Sus scrofa: one gene and its partners. The protein of the gene in region 1 interacts with the protein of each later gene in a pairwise test. Links are inferred from orthologs where the notes say so. Each region holds a gene or a part of one and is shown on either strand. Other genes may lie near its edges.

The links.
Region 2: the proteins of PIAS2 (region 1) and TSR2 interact in binary tests that used the Homo sapiens proteins (3 or more experiments, as listed by UniProt). The two-hybrid records come from large-scale screens. The link is inferred for Sus scrofa from reciprocal best matches to the Homo sapiens genes PIAS2 and TSR2.
Region 3: the proteins of PIAS2 (region 1) and NAV2 interact in binary tests that used the Homo sapiens proteins (3 or more experiments, as listed by UniProt). The two-hybrid records come from large-scale screens. The link is inferred for Sus scrofa from reciprocal best matches to the Homo sapiens genes PIAS2 and NAV2.
Region 4: the proteins of PIAS2 (region 1) and GFAP interact in binary tests that used the Homo sapiens proteins (3 or more experiments, as listed by UniProt). The two-hybrid records come from large-scale screens. The link is inferred for Sus scrofa from reciprocal best matches to the Homo sapiens genes PIAS2 and GFAP.
Region 5: the proteins of PIAS2 (region 1) and CCNDBP1 interact in binary tests that used the Homo sapiens proteins (3 or more experiments, as listed by UniProt). The two-hybrid records come from large-scale screens. The link is inferred for Sus scrofa from reciprocal best matches to the Homo sapiens genes PIAS2 and CCNDBP1.

What each region holds. Positions count from the first base shown.
Region 1 is NC_010443.5:96,514,779-96,518,292, forward strand, and holds part of PIAS2 (E3 SUMO-protein ligase PIAS2), read right to left. Parts: intron 1,232-3,514; coding exon 757-1,231; intron 1-756. UniProt on the Homo sapiens protein: Functions as an E3-type small ubiquitin-like modifier (SUMO) ligase, stabilizing the interaction between UBE2I and the substrate, and as a SUMO-tethering factor.
Region 2 is NC_010461.5:47,185,451-47,189,419, reverse strand, and holds the start of TSR2 (pre-rRNA-processing protein TSR2 homolog), read right to left. Parts: upstream 2,811-3,969; 5' UTR 2,334-2,810; coding exon 2,250-2,333; intron 2,084-2,249; coding exon 1,993-2,083; intron 1-1,992. UniProt on the Homo sapiens protein: May be involved in 20S pre-rRNA processing.
Region 3 is NC_010444.4:39,331,681-39,335,194, forward strand, and holds part of NAV2 (neuron navigator 2), read right to left. Parts: intron 968-3,514; coding exon 500-967; intron 1-499. UniProt on the Homo sapiens protein: Possesses 3' to 5' helicase activity and exonuclease activity. Involved in neuronal development, specifically in the development of different sensory organs.
Region 4 is NC_010454.4:18,455,036-18,459,094, reverse strand, and holds the start of GFAP (glial fibrillary acidic protein), read right to left. Parts: upstream 2,815-4,059; 5' UTR 2,801-2,814; coding exon 2,352-2,800; intron 1,350-2,351; coding exon 1,289-1,349; intron 1,117-1,288; coding exon 1,021-1,116; intron 1-1,020.
Region 5 is NC_010443.5:128,266,724-128,270,745, reverse strand, and holds the start of CCNDBP1 (cyclin-D1-binding protein 1), read left to right. Parts: upstream 1-1,221; 5' UTR 1,222-1,348; coding exon 1,349-1,502; intron 1,503-1,677; coding exon 1,678-1,737; intron 1,738-2,029; coding exon 2,030-2,109; intron 2,110-4,022. Other genes in the region: TMEM62 (transmembrane protein 62), read left to right, coding at 310-636. UniProt on the Homo sapiens protein: May negatively regulate cell cycle progression. May act at least in part via inhibition of the cyclin-D1/CDK4 complex, thereby preventing phosphorylation of RB1 and blocking E2F-dependent transcription.

The DNA of each region.
Region 1 (3,514 bases):
ACTCCAATTAGACCCCTAACCTGGGAACCTCCATATGTTGCAGGTGCAGCCCTAGAAAAGACAAAAAGACAAAAATAAATAAATAAATAAAAAATAAAGCATGTCTCAAACGCTGTCACTTTAGGAAAAAGTATAAAAGGATTATTTCTTAGGAAAACAGTTTAAAAGCAGAAACTGTTAAACAGAAACGAAGTCTTTTTGTAAAAATATCAAAAGTATCAAAAGGTGGAAATCATAGGCAATAAATAAGATTTGCATCTGTCCATAAACACACAGAAGCAATTTGAGTTCTAAGCTATAAAAAGAAAGCTTGATCAATAAAAGTTTTATATTAGATTTCTGTCATGGTTGCCTTTTTTTTTTTTTTTTTTTTTTTTGGGTCTTTTTATGGCCGCACCTATGGCACATGGAAGTTCCCAGGATAGGGGTCTAATCAGAGCTACAGCCGCCAGCCACAGCCACAGCCACACCAGATCTGAGCCACGTCTGCCACCTATACCACAGCTAACAGCAACACCTGATCCTTAACCAACGGAGCAACACCAGGGATTGAACCCTGGCCCTCATGGATGCTAGTTGGGTTCGTTAACCACTAAGCCATGATGGGAACTCCCAATTTTTTTAAATCTATACATTTAGACATTTGGCATTTTAATGCCTCAATTTTATACTATTAATAGCAAACCATTAATAGTTGAAGGCCTCTTGCTTTATTTACTCGCTTGTCCAGAAGAAACTGATTTCTCTACCACTTACCTAAACTTGTGGGCTTGATAAGAACATCAAGGACATCATAAAAGGGCAAGTTTTTTAACTGCACGTCAGGATGGACAGGAGGAATTGGGGGAGATGGCTGCTGCATCTCAAAGGTGGGTTTAGTATCTTGAAGCAGCACTGAACCAACAGGAGAGGGCGGTGAGTGAGGTGTAACTGAAGTGGAAGGCAACGAGTGGATTCCAGCCACAGCCAAGTCAGGTTCTACAGGCGATGAGCTACCATCCAAACTGAAGACCGATGATTTGATTGTGGATAAATCAGAAAGGCCTTCAAGAGTCCGTGGGTATCGGCGTCTATACAGTTCTCGGATTTTAATCTGAACCGCAGGGCTGCAGCCGCTCTTCAATAAATGCAGCGCCCTCATCAGGAGGTCATGCTTGCGTCCACTTTTATTCCGTCCAGCAAAGCCTAGTAACACTTGTAGTTCAGAAACCCTAAAACTAGAAACCATATTCTAAAAGGAAAGGAAAAAAAAAGGGATATAAGCCAAGTCAGCCTCAAGCATTATAAAAACCCTATCTAAAACATACTGTAAAATCTGATTTTTTATCCAGCATTCATCCACAGGCATGTGCTAGTAACCAGCATTTTCACATATTACTTAAAATTGTTACTCTTTATAAAGCCATACCCTCTCCCAATTACTTCAAGTTATCGTGTTAATTATGTTTTGCTGTACTCAATTTTGGTATACTATGATCTATTGGTTTCTATTAACCACCTCATTATCTGATTATGCTCAAGTGTTAACCCATATTTGCTTTATGACTATGAAATCTATAACCAATGAAAATGTTCCTCGTCAAAACTAAGCCCTATCAATACACAATGTAATGTCTGTTACAGTATTAACACAATAAACTAAACAAAAATTAGGTTTCTGCAACCCTATTATCTGTAACTTCTGATACTAAACAGGAAATCTACAAAATCAAGGCAGAATTGTAATCCAAAAATCCAATTTTCACCCCAATTCAATTCTTAAGGAACAGATAACTTCAGTAGGATATTTTTAAGTATTAAAGCTAAAAATCACATCCATCTTATTTAGCAAACTTCTAAACTGACTGAAATTCCCAGCCAAGTATCCAATGTGAAAAACACCTTGAACAGAAAGAATATGAGTGGTTGTAAATCTTAAAGGGCAAGATTCCCTCCTTGCCACTCTACCGACTTGTTCTCAGACATAAAAGATCATAAGTGGTTCTTGCTTTACGTTCTCACCTTCTATTTATTCAACAAAACCTAGTAAATTCTTCCGACCACTTGTTGCCTCATAAATCCCTCTCAAGTCACTTTCAGTCAACTCTGAACGTGGAGGTAAACTACACTGGGGTCAGAGTGAACTGTACCACACAGGCATCACCTGGCCAGAAAGAGTAAGATCTGGATCTGACCAAAAGCTCTTTCAGAAACTGACATTAGGGAGACCTTCCCTGTCCCCTCCCTTGGCGTTGCACACCCTACAGCTGGCTGGGATTCCTTTTCAACCTGCTAAGTATGGAGGAGCAGTACCTACAGTTGCCAGTGATTCACAATAATCTTCCCTTCTGCACTTTCAAGTTTCACTGACAGCCCAGGCGCACCTGTTAAAACTCTGACTGGCTTTTAAAATAGTTGTTGAGAACACTTGCTAGTTTTCCAAAATGCAAATAAATTTAAATAAATCAGAGTAATCTGCATGGACATGCTGAATTATAATTCTACTTCATATACTACGTCTCCAAATTTCATACTGTACAAGTCAGAGAATATTAAGTTGTAATTCTAGCAAACCACTTTATACTCTTGATAGAGCTATCCAATAGAAACAGGGACCAGAGGGAGTTCCCTTCATGGCTCAGCAGTTAATGAACCCAACTAGGATCCATGAGAATGTGGGTTCAATCCCTGGCCTCGTTCAGTGGGTTATGGATCTGGCATTGCCTGAGTTCTGGTGTAGGTCGCAGACGCAGCTCGGATCCCACGTTGCTGTGGCTATGGTGTAGGCCGGCAGCTGCAGCTCCAATTAGATCCCTAGCCTGGGAACCTCCACATCCTGCAGGTGCGGCCCTAAAAAAAAAAAAAAAAAAAAAAAAGGAAGAAAGAAACAGGAACCATCTATATAATTCTAAATTTTCCAGTAGCCACATGAAAATAAATTTTAAATTAATTTGAATAATATGCTTTATTTAACCCAAAATATCAAAAGTATTATTTCAACATGTAAGCAATTTCTGTGATTTAAAAAGTCATTTTTAAATGCCCATGAGATATTTTTCATACTAAGACTTCAATATCCACTGTGTATTTTATACTGAGAGCATAACTCAATTCAGACTAACCCATTTCAAGAGCTTAGGGAGTCACATGTGGCTAGTAGCTACCACACTGGACAGTATGGCTCTAAATCACACTCTAATAGCAGCGTATGTCACAAATACCAAGATCACTATACTTTAACTCGCTTCATTCCCCACATGTGTAAGTGGAAGATTTTATTTATCTTAGCCCTATGCTATGGAAAATGAAGAAGGAAAACAAGAAAATCTGGGGTCTATCTCATGACACACCAGTCACAGTCAAGGTTTCATACATAATAAGGACTATGACGACTATGACAACTTTTCAGGAAGTTTCCTCCCAAGCAAGAAATGCAATGCATCTTTCCCAAAGTCCTCAATCCTAAAAGATACCTCAACTGAAATTTGCTTACATTACAGTAGCATAAATGACATTAAAACATGGAGAACACTAA
Region 2 (3,969 bases), on another chromosome or scaffold:
TCTCCAATCCACACTACTCTCCACCTATTTAGAGGGTGCCTCAGACCCTCCTTTCCCAAAGCCAGATTCATCACCTTACCTTCCAAACCTACTTCTCAATCCTCCAGGGTTCTCCTATTCCATAAAAGGTATCTGAGCCACGCAACGACTCAAACCAGAAACCTGCCTCATGCCCCCCCCCACTCCTCTACAGCCAAACAATTTCCAAGATTCTAATCCACCCCTTCTTTTCCGTAACTATTGCCACTGCCTCATCATCTTCAAGACAGAAACAGTCTTCTCATCAGTTGTTCCCTCTCCAGTCCAAGCTCCATACTGACTACTTTTTTTTTTTTTTTTTTTTGTCTTTTTGCCTTTTCTTGGGCCGCTCCCACGGCATATGGAGGTTCCCAGGCTAGGGGTCGAATCGGAGCTGTAAACACTGGCCTACGCCAGAGCCACAGCAACTCGGGATCCGAGCTGTGTCTGCAACCTACACCACAGCTCACGGCAACGCCGGATTGTTAACCCACTGAGCAAGGGCAGGGACCGAACCCGCAACCTCATGGTTCCTAGTCGGATTTGTTAACCACTGCGCCACGACGGGAACCCCATACTGGCTACTTTCTATAGCCAGTAAACCCCATCCTATTAAATCCTGCTCATGAAGTTTTATCTCCTACTGCAGTGTTTCATATTCTGCTTATAAGACGTAACTGTCCTGCTGGACTTTAAGGGAAGCTATTCATAGAAAAATCATGGTAAACAAGTTTCTTTTTGGTGGTTCTTATCAGAACCTTTAATATGATAATGATTATGGTGACTCTTAAGAGCTGAAGAGCTTTTTTTATATCATGTGACTGGAGAAGTGGTTTCTTCACTGAACACCTAAAAAGAACTAGTCTTCCATAGCATATATTTTTGACAAATGCTGGCCTAAAGGATAAAATCAAAGGCCCACAAATCCTTCCATGTTTCACCCTTTTCCAGGGGCCTCCCCAACCAACCTCCAGCCTCATTCTCTATCACTCCCCCCTCCCACACCCCCACAAGCACACCATACAGCCCTACTCTAACACTGAGCTCCCTGCCACTTTCCAAATATAACACATAATCTCCTCATACCACAGAACTTATTTTTGAGTGTTGCTCTGCCTCTCCCACCTAGTTAACTCCTTCTCATCCCTTAAAACTCACCCAAAAGCCACCTTACCCTAACAATCTCCAAAAGAAGCCTCTTCCTCAGTCTCACATTACCCAAGCACCCTGAGATCTTTATTAGAACACCTACCACCCTGTGAGTAAAAACCTATTTACTTATCTAGATCCCTCACCAAATAATAAATTTTTTTCAGAGAAAGGTCTCTGCCTAATGCCATCTCCAAGGCCAAGAAAACTAAGTGAATAATTTAAAAAAAATCATACTTCACAAAAGATCACCTAAAGGGCCCCTATTCTTATAGAACCTACAAGACACATCAAAGGTGTAGATCTCTGCTGTCCAAATAATCAAATGTGGTTACTGAGCACTTAAAATGTGGCTAGGCCAAGACAAATTGGGATGTGATAAAACTGCAAAACACCCACCAGATTTTGAAAACTTAATACTAAAAAAAAATGTAATACATCTCGTTAATAATGTTTTATATTGATTACATGTTGAAATACTTTGGATATATTGAGTTGAACAATATTCATTTCACCTGCTTTTTATATCAAAGTGGTTGCTGAAAAATTTTTAATTACATGATGTGACTGGCATTATATTTCGATTTGGACAGCGCTGGTGGATACTTTCATATCCATGTTACAAATTAGGAAACTGAGTCTCAGGGGAGTAAAACGACATATCCAACGCGATACAAGGAGTCAATGGCATGGCCCTAAGGCACTCGAACTCAGGATTCAGACTCTGGTATCAGCAGACAATTGTTCAAGAGGAAGTGCAGATTCACCAAGACCGCCCTCCTCCCCGCGCCCCTAAACAAGTCCTAGGGCCTTAAATTCACTCACCATTGCGGAAGAAATACTCCTCCACTGCACCCCCTAGCCACTCAGCCTTCTCCTGGCTATGCACACCTCCAAAGCCGTTCTCCACAGCGATCTGCGAACACAGGCCCGAGCCCACCACGTCAGCCCAGGAACCGGCCTGCGGTGGCGCAAGGGTCCGCTTCTGACGCCGCCCAACCAACTAAGCCTTGGGCAGCTCACCGGCCAACTCCTGTTCTGGCCCGGTCCCTAACCTTTGTTCCAGCTGTGTCCTCGCTCACCTGCAAGGCGGGCCAAGCCTCCAACGCTGCGCGGATGCCAGCCCGGAAAAGCGTTAGAGACTCCTCTGCAGCGCCCGCCATCATCCTGCTGCGGACCACGTGACGCCCAAGCAGGCCAATCCCTGCGCAGCACCGCCCAGGCAGAAGGAGTAGGAAGCCAAGCTTGAGAACGCAGATTCTCCCTTTCCGCTGATCTGGCAGCAAGACTAGAGCAATAGAAAAGTCTGTCGAGTAATCGATGACACCGCCCGGGTTACTCAAGAAGTGGAAGACGCTTGGGGCCGAGAGTTCCGGACCCGTGGGTATTGCGCAGAAAAGATGTGAGGAACTTATTAAAGATAAAGGACAGAGGAAGCAACCTCAGGTAGCATAGCCTAAAAGTCTGCATTTAGAAATGCATCCTAGGAGTTCCATCTGTGGCTCAGCGGGTTAAGACCCCGACTCATCTCCATGAGGATGCGGCTTCAAGCCCTGGCTTCGCTCAGTGGGTTAAAGGATCTGGCGTTGCCGTGAGCTAAGGTGTAGGTCTCAGGCACAGTTTGGATACGGCGTTGCAGCTGCAACTCCAATTCGACCCCTAGCGGGGGAACCTCCATATGGTGTAGGTGTGGCCCTAAAAAATAAATTAATTGATTGATTAAATAAAATAAAAAAGAAATAAATAACAGAAAGACATTTGTGAAATTCACAAATAGGTGGGAATTAGTACACTTCTAAATAACTAATGGGTCAAAGAAAAAAAAATCGGAAGACGTCTTGAAATGACTTGAAACTAAAGCAGGGCAAGGACCAAAATTATGATCAGTGCTCAGGGTGAATCCACACTTTGAAGGGCCTGAGGCAGATAGAATTTTGTAAGCCCTCTTTAAGAAAAATAGTACAAATTTAGGTGTGCAAGTAAGTATAGCTTTAGATTTATAAAAGAAATTTTTAAATTTACAAATTCCAATTTTTTTTGGGGGGGGGAACATGCCTGTGACATGTGTTAGTTCCCAGGCTAGGGATCCAGCTGGCACCACAGCAGTAACCAGAGCCACAGCATTAACAATGCTGATCCTTAACCCACTGAGCCACTAGGGAATTCCTACAAATTCCAATTAAAAAAACCTGACAAATACCACAAACATCCTCAAAACTAGAGAAATAAAATAATTGCCTGACTCACCTCTCTACTAATTTTTCCTTTATTTTTTATTTTATTATTTTTTTTTGGCTGCCAACATTTTGATATCTTCCTGTAAATAAATAGGACAATTATTTTATAATAACATTTTCAAGAGAGAATAAAAAGAATTCAATTGCATTCAGTTGATCAAAATTTTTTATTATTGTAGTTTAGAAAAGTTTCAACTTCACAGCTCATTGTTAGTAGAATAAAATTTAAGATTGTGTTAAATTTGGGGAAACCTCTAGTTTCTTTTACATGTGAGCTATAAAATTTTATGGTACTTTGTTTTTGTGCAGCAATAATTGTCTCAAATTGACAATGCTCAACAACCAGGGGCTTGGAAGTGTCTTGTGTAAGTGTGAGTTACTAGAGGCTTAAACTTTTAGTTATATTATTTCTGTGATAAATCCATCTCTATGCAATGCTAGAGGAGAAAGGAGCACAGGAAGCTATGGGAGTCCAGCAGAGGGGGTTTCTGATCCAGCCTTGGGAATTATGGCAAATCTCTCAGAGATAATGCCTCTGACTTAAAAGTTTGAGTGGAATTTTCCC
Region 3 (3,514 bases), on another chromosome or scaffold:
GCTCTGAGGACCATTCTGGTTTCCTGATTTTCCATCACACTGGCCCGCAGCCCTTCGGTAAGACGGTGTTGGCCCCGAGGACCAGCGCATCTGCTTAGCTGCTTAAGGGGTACCCCGCCCCCCACGCTCCAAGGCTGCCGCCGCCACCTACTGCGCCTGCGCAACCACGAGGGGTGGAGAAAGACGCAGTGGACAAACAAGCATAGTAAAATGGAAGGACCTCAAAGGCGGAAAGCCGTTTTGCATGGAAGTATGACATCTGCCCCCTGAGACTTCTAGCCGCTCCGCGCACTAAGAATAACCACAATGAGAAAGATAAGAGGAAGCAGAGCCGGGCTTAACTCCACCCCCAAACTGGCTGCCCCGTGGAAAGATGGCAGTGATCAGAGAGAAATCTTGTAGCCAAGGTGAATTCACCTCTGGGCTTCCTAACGTAATCTTCTGGCTCTTGAAAGGGCGTCTTTGGGGAGGTAAAGGCAGCCAAGCGCACGGCACCAACCTTTCAGACAGTGTGGTCTTCACACTGTTGGTTCTGACAAAGGGGGTAAGGGCATCGTCCTTGGAGGAGGCGAGGAGGCCGGTGGAGGAGTTGTGACTCAGTGCCCCTCCGCTGCCGAGGGAGATGTCAATGGACTCGCAGCTGGTGTGGAGGCTGCTGACCGACTGGAAGCCCAGGCCATCCTTGCTGACGGCCGAGGAGCTGCTGGCGTTGGTGCCCCAGGTGAGGCTGTTGGAGGGGCCCGAGTGGGCGGAACTGGGGCTGGAGGCTAGAGGGGACTGGGTGCTGTCCACATTCTTACTGTAGAGAGGGCTGCTGCTCCCGCTGCTCAGGACGCCGCTGCCCGAGGGGGACTCTAAGTTACCTGGCTGGCTCAAGGTGGCATGAGGGTTGGAGATGACCACTGAGTTTTTCATGTTTTCGGCTGTGGCGATGGGCACTTGCTTGGCAGGCTTCCCACCAAAGAGTCTGTGAAGAGACAAAGGGTTGTGTGGGTTGAACACCCAAGGCCAAGGGTGGGTTGTTAGAGGAAGGTGGGGCACAGTGCCAGCCAGAGTCCCTGGGGTGGGGGCATGATCCTTCTTACTGAAATGGCTCCACTGGGAAAGGCTGCCACACAGTGGGCCTGAGCCCTGGTGTTGCAAAGGCTTCACCTTCATGTTCCAGGCTGCAGCTGAGACCCTGGATCTGAGCCAAAAGGGAGATGGGGAGTAATTTTCTCCAGGCCTATCCCTCGCTGGTCCAAGATCTTGCTTCCTTTTTCCTTCCATAAATGAAGTAACTAGAAAATTGCCCTTGCCCAGGAAACAGCTAGAGGGAAAAGGGCTGTGTCTTAATCACCTCTGTATCCATGACCCCCAGCACAAAGCAGGCACTCCATTTATGACAGTTCAGTTCCAAAGGATTTGGTTTCTTTGATCTCTAGGCAAACATGTATAATCAGGAACAGGAGTCTAGATCTGGAGGTGGCCTGGGCAATGTATCTTCACAGATTTATTGTCACATGGAAGCCTAGCCTGGAAGATGCGTCGTTTAGAGCCAGAGAACCAGTACTTCCCAGTGATACACACAAAACCCAGTGATACATTCACAAGGTGTCAGACCAGACAGTCTGTGTGTGAACTGTGTCTCTGTGACAGTCACACACAAATGCTTTTCCCTGTCATCTCCTCCACTGCCCAGGACCAAAAACGTGCTATCAGAATACAGGGAATGGCACACGATTCCCTCTTCTCTTGACAGAGGGCTAGAGAGTAGGATGGAGAAATTGTCTTAAAGTCAAAGGTCTTAAAGTTCATGCTCTAGTAATGTAAGGGCTTCATTCTATCCACTAAAACTCTGATGGATACAGATGGACAAAAGGCACATGAAAAGGTGCTCAACATCCCTATTAGAGAACTGCACATCAAAACCACAATGAGGTATCACTTCACACCAGTCAGAAGAGCCATCATCAAAAACTCTACAAAGAATGCTGGAGAAGGTGTGGAGAAAAGGGAGCCCTCCTACACTGTGGCGGGGGGTGGGGAATGTAAATTGGTGCAACCACTATAGAGGACATTATGGGGGTCCCTTAAAAAAATAAAAATAGAACTACCATATGATCCACTCCTGGGCATATATCCAGAGAAAACCATAATATAAAAAGATACATGCACCCAATATTCACTGCAGCACTATTTACAATAGCCAAGACATGGGACGTAAACCAAATGCCCATCCACAGAAGACTGGATAAAGAATGTGTGGTACATACCCACAATGCAATATTACTTAAGCCATAAAAAGAATGGAATAGTGCCATTTGCAGCAACATGGATGGACACAGAGATTATCATACTAAGTGAGGTAAGTCAAGACAAATATCATATGATATCACCTATGTGTAGAATCGAAAAAAAAAAAAAAAAGAGAAAAGAAGAGATACCAATGAACTCATTTACAAAATAGAAACAGATTCACAGACTTGGAAAACAAACTTATGGTTACCAAAGGGGAAACACAGTGGGGAGGGATAAAGTAGGAGTTTGGAATTAACAGATACATACGACTATACATATAAAGTAGATAATCAATAAGGACCTACTGTATAGCACAGGGAAGTCTACTCAATTTTCTGTAATAAGCTATATGGGAAAATAATCTGAAAAAGAATGGATATATGTATATGTATAACTGAATTATTTTGCTGTACACCTTCAACTAACACCACATTGTAAATCAGCTATACTCCAGCATAAACAAATTTAAAAACCCTATGGAACAAGCATCTCTGAAGAGAAGATACTACTACATATTATCATATTATGATAAGCAGGTTTTCCTGTCATCTGGCTACCCAAAGTAATGTGTTTGGTTTCTGTCCTCTAAACAATCCTTAGATATTTCAAGTATTATCAAAATAAATAAGTGAACACATTATTAACCTTCACCACAATGTCTGGTGACAGATAAGGAACACTTTTTGCCTGGTGATAGAGAAAGAACTATCCTGTTGTAGAATCTTGGCTTGAGAGTGCTTACATACTTCCAGTGATGGGGACCTCACTACCCTACTCCACATGCTAACTGGCACCATTGCTAAGTACTTCCAGTTGTTATGAAACCAAAAGCTAATCCACCTTCTTCTAGTTGCCTCCTTAGTGCAGTAGGCAGTGCATCAGTCTCATAATCTACCTTTTTCTGACTTTTTAGGCATTATTATTCATCCTACATGTAACTACACAGAGAAAGCCCAATCTATTGTCTGTTAGTCCTTCAAACCATTTCAAGGGAGCAATCACACTTCACCTAAGAGTCCTCTTCTCCATACTGATACACGGGAGGGAATTCAGAACACCTTAACGATTTAGGAAAAATGTAATTGCCAGGAATGGGCTGAAAGGTGCTCAATGCAGAGCCTAAGAGGCTGCTTGCATTTTCAAGTATTCTATTACACTAGCCTAAGGGTCTAGTAAAATGCCTTTGTAGTTACTAAAGGAAATCTATAATACCAAAGAGCGAATATTACATATA
Region 4 (4,059 bases), on another chromosome or scaffold:
GGGCTCAGGGACCAGGCTGTCACTGGAGTGTCCCTACGGCCTCATGCTCTCTTCTGCTGCCCTCAGACACGGATGTTGGCTCAGGGAGATGGGGCACGCCTAGTCAGAGGAAGTGGCATGACCCAGGCTAGGGGCAGTTTGGGGTAGTTAACGTGCTCCTCTCAGGCCCGGAAGACAGTGAGTCTGTGATCCCCTGGGAGAGTGACCGAGTCCCTGTGGAATGGGTGTGCCTATGGGTTCCCAGGTTCCATAAAGTCACAGATTCTGAAGCCATAATCTGAAGTCAGAGCTTAGTGGTCTTTTTTTTTTTTTTTTTCACGTGAGTGGCTGTCATGTGAATGGAGACAGGCGGCAGAGGGGCTGGAGTCAGAGACTAACTGGGTGACACTGGCACGTTCTTTAACCTCTCTGGGCGTCAGTGTCTTCTGTGAAAAGGAGACAACACTGGGAGAGTTCCTGTCTCACAGGACGGCCCTGAAGAAAAGCGGGAGGCAACTCGGCCCATTGCAGTTCTCAGTAAGTGGAGTCTGTGTCTGTGTGCATTTTACCAGGGGCCGGGGGCTGGGCCGGGGGTCTCTTATCTCTATCTTTGTTTCCCTCAGTCTCTCTCTGTCTTCTCTCTCTCTCTCTTTCATTTTCTTCCTCTGTCAATCTCCCTCTCTTTCTGTTGTTTTTAGGGTCACACTCGAGGCATATGGAAGTTCCCAGGCTAGGGGTCAAATTGGAGCTGCAGTTGTGGTCTACACCACAGCCACAGCAAGGCCAGATCCGAGCTGCATCTATGAACTACACCGCAGCTCGCAGCGACGCCGGATCCTTAACCTACTGAGCGAGGCCAGGCATAGAACTGGCATCCTCATGGACACTGTGCCAGATTTTAACCCGCTGAGCCACACAGGACCTCCTCTGTCTCTTTCTCTCTGTCTCTGAATATCTCTGTCTCAATCTCTCTGTTTCTCTGTCTCTTTCCCTCAGTTCCCCTCTCTGTGTGGGCCTTTCCTCCCTCTGTCCTGGCCTTACCTCGTCATGGATCTTCCTCAAGAACCTGATTTCCTCCTCCAAAGACTCGATCTTCCTCTCCAGATCCAGCCGGGCCAGGGTGGCTTCATCCGCCTCCTGGAGTAGGGTGGGGGACAAGGGGCTGCTCTGACTCCAGACTCCTCCTCTCCCCTTCCTGGTTTCGTCTGATCCCTCCTTTGCTCCGGAGGCCTGGGCTTGGGGGCTCTGGTTGGGTGGGCTGCCATCAACACTCTCCCCCTCCCTGGTCCCTCCCTTCCATCACCCTGACCTGTCGATAGGTGGCCAGGTTGTTCTCAGCCTCCAGCCTCAGGTTGGTTTCATCCTGGAGCCTGGGGGAAGGGGACACATTCCTGGGTCCAGGTTCTTCTGAAGACTCTTGGACCCCTGCCCAGAGTCTCCTTAGAGGTGGCTTCCAGAGGGATCCTCTGCCTCCCCCTCCTACTCCCAGGACCAGTGGAGTGGCAGAGGGAGTGGGTGAGGGGGGCAGAATGATCCTAGGCAGAGTCTTGGCCAGGAGGCTGAGCAGACAAAGGCCTTGGCTTGAACTCATTACCAAGGTGCTTATCAGGGTTGGTGCACCTGTTCCTGCTTACACAGGTGCTTCCACCAATGTACAATCACTGCTGCGCACACACACACACACACACACACACACACACACATCCTCCAGCACTTGAGGGCACACACGCATCCCCTGCAAGTTTGGCTAGCACCATGGCCCTGGGGTTTCCTCTGACTTTTAGAAATGGGTTTTATTAAGGTCTCCACTTCACAGCTGTGCAAGCTGAAGTGTCCTTCTAGGGTCATAAGCTGGTGACAGGCAGAGCTGCCTGTGTTCTGAAGCCAGGCCTGCCTGCTCTTTCCCCTATTTCCTTTACCCTCGAGCCCAGTCCTCCTGGTGCACCCCAAATCTCCTTCCAGCTCCTCCTTTAGACAGATCTGGGCTCACATTCACACAGCATGCCCCCCGTCCACCGTCACAAGGCCCTACAGTGAAAGAAAGGCAGAGACCCCTGCCTGCTGGGGTCTCTGACTGTCCCGCACAGCTTTCCTCAGCAGGGAAGCTCTGGGAATACCCCGGCTCCCTGGAGGAAGGTCTTTGGGAACCAGACGCCTGAGACTCTGGGCCTCCTTTCCCCTAGACCCTCCATCACCTTGGGGAGCAAGGAGAGCCCTCCCCTCCCAGAGGTGGGAAACCGGGGGGCAGAGAGGCAGAGCCCCTGCCTGAGACCCTGCAGGTCTGCCTGCCTGCAGGTGCTCCCCCTCGGGAGCTCAGTCCTCCCTGATCACGAGGCCCCCTCCTCAGCCCCTCTCCACGGCCCCCTCCTCACTTCTGCCTCAGGGTGCCCAGGTCCTGCGCCAGGTTGTCCCTCTCCACCTCGAGCCGGGCGCCGTTGGCGGTGAGTTGGTCGAGCCGCAGCCGCAGCTCTCGCAGCTCGGCCTGGTAGACGTCGGCCAGCTTGGTGGGCTCCTTGGCCCGCAGCTGGTTCAGCTCGGCAGCCAGCGCCTTGTTCTGCTGCTCTAGGAAGCGCACTTTCTCGATGTAGCTGGCGAAGCGGTCGTTGAGTTCCATCATCTCTGCCCGCTCACTGGCCCGGGTCTCCTTGAAGCCAGTGTTGAGGGCCCCGGCCAGGGAGAAGTCCACCCGGGCCGGGAGTGGAGGCGGCATTCGAGCCAGGGACAGGCGGGGGCCAGGACCCAGGCGGCGGCCGCCCCCCACCGTTTCCAAGGAGGAGACATAGGAGCGGCGAGCCGCTGAGGTGACCCGTCTCCTCTCCATCCTGGCCTGGCTCTGCTGCCCCTGGGGATGTGCAGGCTTTATGGAGGAGTGGGCCGGCCTGGCACGGCCCAGGCTGCCCCTGGCAACGCCCCCCTGGCATAGCCTGAGGGGGTGGGGCTGGGCTGCAGCCCAGCCGTTAGGAGAGCGCCTCTCACCCCATCGGGGTCACTGCCCAGAGGCAGGCCTGGCTGCAGACAGAGGAACCAGTGGGCAGTTCGTGGGGCTGATGCTGGGTCTGGGGACCTGATCCCTGGGCAAGGAGACCTCTTCTCTGTGATTTGGGTCAGGGAAGGGCTGGACCTGATGACCTCTGACCTGTCTTCTAACTTTTTTTTTTCTTTTGTCTTTTTAGGGCTGCACCCACAGCATATGGAAGTTCCCAAGGCTAGGGGTTGAATCAGAGCTGCAGCTGCCGGCCTACACCGCAGTGCACGGCCACGCCGGATCCTTAACCCACGGAGTTAGGCTAGAGGTCAAACCCACGTCCTCGTGGATTCTAGTTGGGGTTCATAATCTGCTGAGCCACAGCAGAAAGTCCCCTGTCTTCTAACTCTTAGACCCCATATCCCAGGCCTTTCCTCGCTCCGTATTCTCCTTCCAGTGCTCGCTAGACGCTGGGAATTTGAAGAACAAACCTGTTCCCTACCCTCAAGGAACAGCCTGGGTTGTGGGTTTTGCCAGCCTCATTCTCAATGGCCCCCTGGAGCCCTCCCCTCGGAACCCAGTCGTCTGCATTCCCACCTTCCCCATCCCCCGCCTGGAGCTGTGGGGCCGTGGGCTGGAATCCCAATCAGCCCTTTGTCCGGAGGGTCAATGGAGACCTCTGTCCAGCAGTGTGGGGACAACGGAAGGAACGTGCGCCCCCTGATAGGGCAAGGGGGTCAGGCGCTGACTCTCTGGTCCTCTCCCTGAGACGCTCTCAGTCTCATTAGGCTCATGCCGCCGCTGTCCTGGCTCAGCCTCCCTGCACCTCCACCCCCAGAGCCAGGCCTTGACAGCTCCACAAAGCAGTTATGAATGAGCTGGCTGTCCCACCTCCCATCTCTGTTCCTGTGACACGCTGTTTCCCTGGCCACCCCCTCACCTCGCTCACACGCTAGAGATTTATCTCCTTTAAGTTCCCACGCATCAGGTTGAGAAGCTGGGAAAGCCCTCTGGAGATGGATGGGTTTGGGAACTTAGGAGCCGGTGGGTCCAAACTGGGAGCCAGGAACCTGGACCCTGCTGCCCCTCAAGATTTCAGATCCATCCACCCCTTC
Region 5 (4,022 bases), about 32 Mb from region 1:
AAATATTGATACCCTATCCACCCTCACTCTGCCTAAAAAAAAAAAAGAGTATTGTATATACTTAAACATTATTTGCCGCTTTCACATAAATAAAATGCCTTTAATGTGAATGAAAGGATACAGGCAAATAAACAGCTAACTAAAAATTGCAAGTGTTATAAGCAAGTGTGATTGAAACATAATGAATCAGATTGTTAACTCCCAAGAGAGAAAGCAGTATATTTTTAGGAGCCACCAATAATGTGTTAGTGAGACCCAACTCCTCCAGGACTTGCTCATAATCTAATGGTTCTGTTCTGCTCTTTCCAGCTGGTGTTTTTTAACATCCCCTTGATGGCTTACCTGTGTTGGAGTTTGCTGCAGCGGTGCTTTGGTCACAACTTCAGGTCTCATCTCCGTCAAGGAAAATACTTGAAAATTATACCTGTTCATCTACTTATGTTACTGCTGTACATCTGGCAGATTTATTCCTGCTACTTTCTTCATATGACATATGGCACTCTAGCTTTATTATTCTCCCCTTTGCGGACCTGGCTGACACTGGTGACACCTGTTCTCATTCGTTGTGTGTGGACACTGAACTCCACAGAGCTTGGAACCTTCATAGTGCAGTTAAAAAGCCACCTGAGTTCCTGAAGGCCATGTCTCATCATCCAGCTCTAGCCCAGGCCTCTGCCCCCCGAAACAGGCGGAAGGCCAATACTAGTAGGCAAGCTTCAGGGAGCTGCTGTTTCTTGGCCGCCTGGGAGGTGGGGGGATTCCCCACTACTGATTTCCTGCATAATGGACTGCAGGAAAAAAATCTCTAAATAATGCCATGATTCCTTCCTTCCCTAAGAAGGCAGAAGGTTGATTTACTTTTGTGAAGAGAGAGCCCTAATCTAGGAGATCCACAGGGCAGGAGCTGGTGTGTTTGGTAGTATGTGAACCCAGTGTTTTTTTAACGTTACCTCATGTAAAGTACCTAGCACAGTGTCTGGAACTCAGCAGGGGACAAGGGCGCCACCACTTGAGGGGCAGGGAACCAGTGCAAACTTGGGCCTGACCCTGACTACCCTTGATTAGTTCCTGGTCCTCTTTTCCCACAGGGTTCTCTGCTTCCTCTGTCGGAGGTGTTTGCCACTAATCAAATAAATGAATAATGAATAAGAAATAACTCTGCGTCGCCTTGCGTGTGTGGTCAGGGCCCGGCGCGGGGGTGGAGTCACGTCGGGGCGGGGCGGGCGGCTTCTCTTGTTGCCGGAAGCGAACCCGCATCCGTGACGCCCGGAAGTGGAGTGGCTACTGCTGTGCGGCTCAGGCGGCTTCCGTGGCAGCTAAGTACGCTGGCTCCCAGAGTCCTACTGGGATGGCGAATGCAGCTCCCCCTGATGCTCCAGTCCCCACCCTGGCTGTGCCTTTGGAGCAGCTCCGGCACCTAGCAGAGGAGCTTCGGTTGCTCCTTCCTGGAGTGCGGGGTGAGCTGACACAGTGGAGACGGACCCCCACAGGGACCGGCGTGGGTAGGGAGAAGCCGGGCCAGGGCGGCGGCGGCACCAGGGAGCGAGGGATGGGGGAGTCGGGGGAGGGGAGGGCGGCAGGGCCCGGCGGGAGCGGAGGAAATGGGGGCCTCAGGTAGCGCCGCTTACCTCTGCTCTTCCTTTTGCGGTGGCCCGGCCCACACGCCGAACCCACTAGTCGGCGAAGCCCGGGAGACTACCAAGGAGTTTAATCGGGAGACCTTTTGGAGAAGATTCAGTGAGTGCCTCTCTTGTTGGAGACTGCCATCTCTCATCTCTTCAGTTGTCCCTGTCCCTTTCCTTCCTGCTTTTCCCCGGCCTGTCCCCTCTGTGGGGATACCTCATCTTACCCATTCTCGGCATCTCTGAGGTTGAGATTTAAAACACTGATTTTTGGAGGTGTTTTGAGACGTCTAAGCCGGCAAGGGTGGAGAGGGAACGTGTTATCTTCACAGCCCGTCCAGCAGCTGCAGCCTTATCCGTTTGGCACTAACATACTGGCTTCTGCCTCCTCCTCTGACTCTTCCCAGATGAGGCAGCTGTGACAGTGTCCACGGAAGCCACTACTCTGACCGTAGTCTTTTCCCGACTTCCACTGCCATCTCCTCAGGTGGGCTTTACTTTTCTGGAATCCTTGTAGTGCCTCTTTATTCTTTAGGAATCCTTTCATTTTCTTTCATGTTTTACACTCAAAGCAAGGGATTTCTTTCTTCCTTCCTCCCACCCTCCCTTTCTCCCGGACTTCCTTCTTTCCTCCTTTCTTTCTTTCCTGCACCCGCAGCTCTCGGAAGTTCCTAGGCCAGGAATCAAACATGAGCCACAGCAGTGACAACACCAAATCCTTAATTGCTAGGAGATCAGGAAACTCCTTAGCGTGGAATTTAGTTTTCTCATCTGTCAAGTAAGATTGCATATCTTATTGACTTCATAGGAACATTAACCTCAAGAGTTCTCATATCACAGGAATATTCTGAAAACCAAGTTGTCAGGTGCAGTACTTGACATGGAGTAGGCAGCTCTTCTAAACATTGGTTCTTTTTTTGTGTTTGCTTTTTAGGGCTGTACCTGTGGCATATGGAAGTTCCCATGCTAGGGGCCAAATTGGAGCTGCAGCTGTCAGCCTATGCCACAGCCACACCAGATCCAAGCCAGTCTGAGACCTACACCACAGCTCATAGCAACGCTGGATTCTTAACCCACTGAGCGAGGCCAGGGTGAAACTCGAGTCCTCATGGATACTAGTTGGGTTTGTTACCACTGAGCCACAACAGGAACTTCAGTGAGTTCAATGAGGTTCAAAATGAACCTCAATATTGGTTCATTTTGAGGTTCATCCTGGTTATTTCCTTTCTGATAATTTTTTATTTTAAGCACTTGCTATTTACTGGGTGTTTTCAGATACATGATCCCTATTTGACAGATGAACAAGCAGGCTCAAAGGCTTCGGTTAAGGTAGATAAGTAGGGGTGCTAGGATTAAAATTAGGTTCTGGGATTCTCTTGTGGCTCAGCAGGTTAAGGATCTGGCATTGTGACTGCTGTGGCTCTGGTTACAGCTGTGGCAAGTGTTCCATCCCTGGCCCAGGAACTTTGGCATGCTGTGGGCCCAGCCAAAAACAAAAACAAAATAAATTAGGTTCTGTCTCATGTCTAAGCTACACCTATTCTGTTATACTACAAAACACCTTTTTTATATTGAATTATTTTTTATAATTAGTAACGATGAATTAGTATAAAATTCAAAAGATATCAAAACCTAAATTAAGTGTGCTGAAAAGTTTATATCTCCCCTCGCTTATTCCTTTTGTGTTATTCCCTATATATACTATGAATATACCCACTTAACGTGTATGTGCCTACTTCTTCTTATGGTAAAATATCTTAAACATTTTTCTGGACTTTCCTTTTTTTTAAAAAAATTTAACAACATAGCTTGAAAATTGATTTTTAGAAGTAGGTATAAAGTTGCTCAATTCTTTGTAATGGCTGTGTGATATTCAATAGTGTGGATATAACTATAGTTTATGTTTGTCTTTTTTTTTTTTTTTTTTTTTTGGTCTTCTCTAGGGCTGCACCTGCGACATATGGAGGTTCCCAGGCCAGGGGTCCAATTGGAGCTGTAGCTGCCAGCCTACAGCACAGCCACAGCAAAGCCAGATCCAAGTTGCATCTGCAACCTCCACCACAGCTCACAGTGGAGCAATCCTTAACCCACTGAGCGAGGGCAGGGATCAAACCCGCATCCTCATGGATCCTAGTCGGGCTCCTTGCCACTGCACCATGATGGGAACTGCCAACCATAGTTTATTTAACCAGTACTGTGTGGACATTTAAGCTGTTTCCAACTTGTAACTGTTATAAACAGTGCTGTTCTAAATTGCCTAACACAATCTTTGTTTATATCTGTATATCAGTAAAAATTCCTAAAAATGGAATTGCTAGATAAAAGAGTGTATGCTTTAGTGTAAAAACCTTGAAAGTAAATATTGTTGGCTGTGGCCAGGTATGCTCTATGTCCAGTATT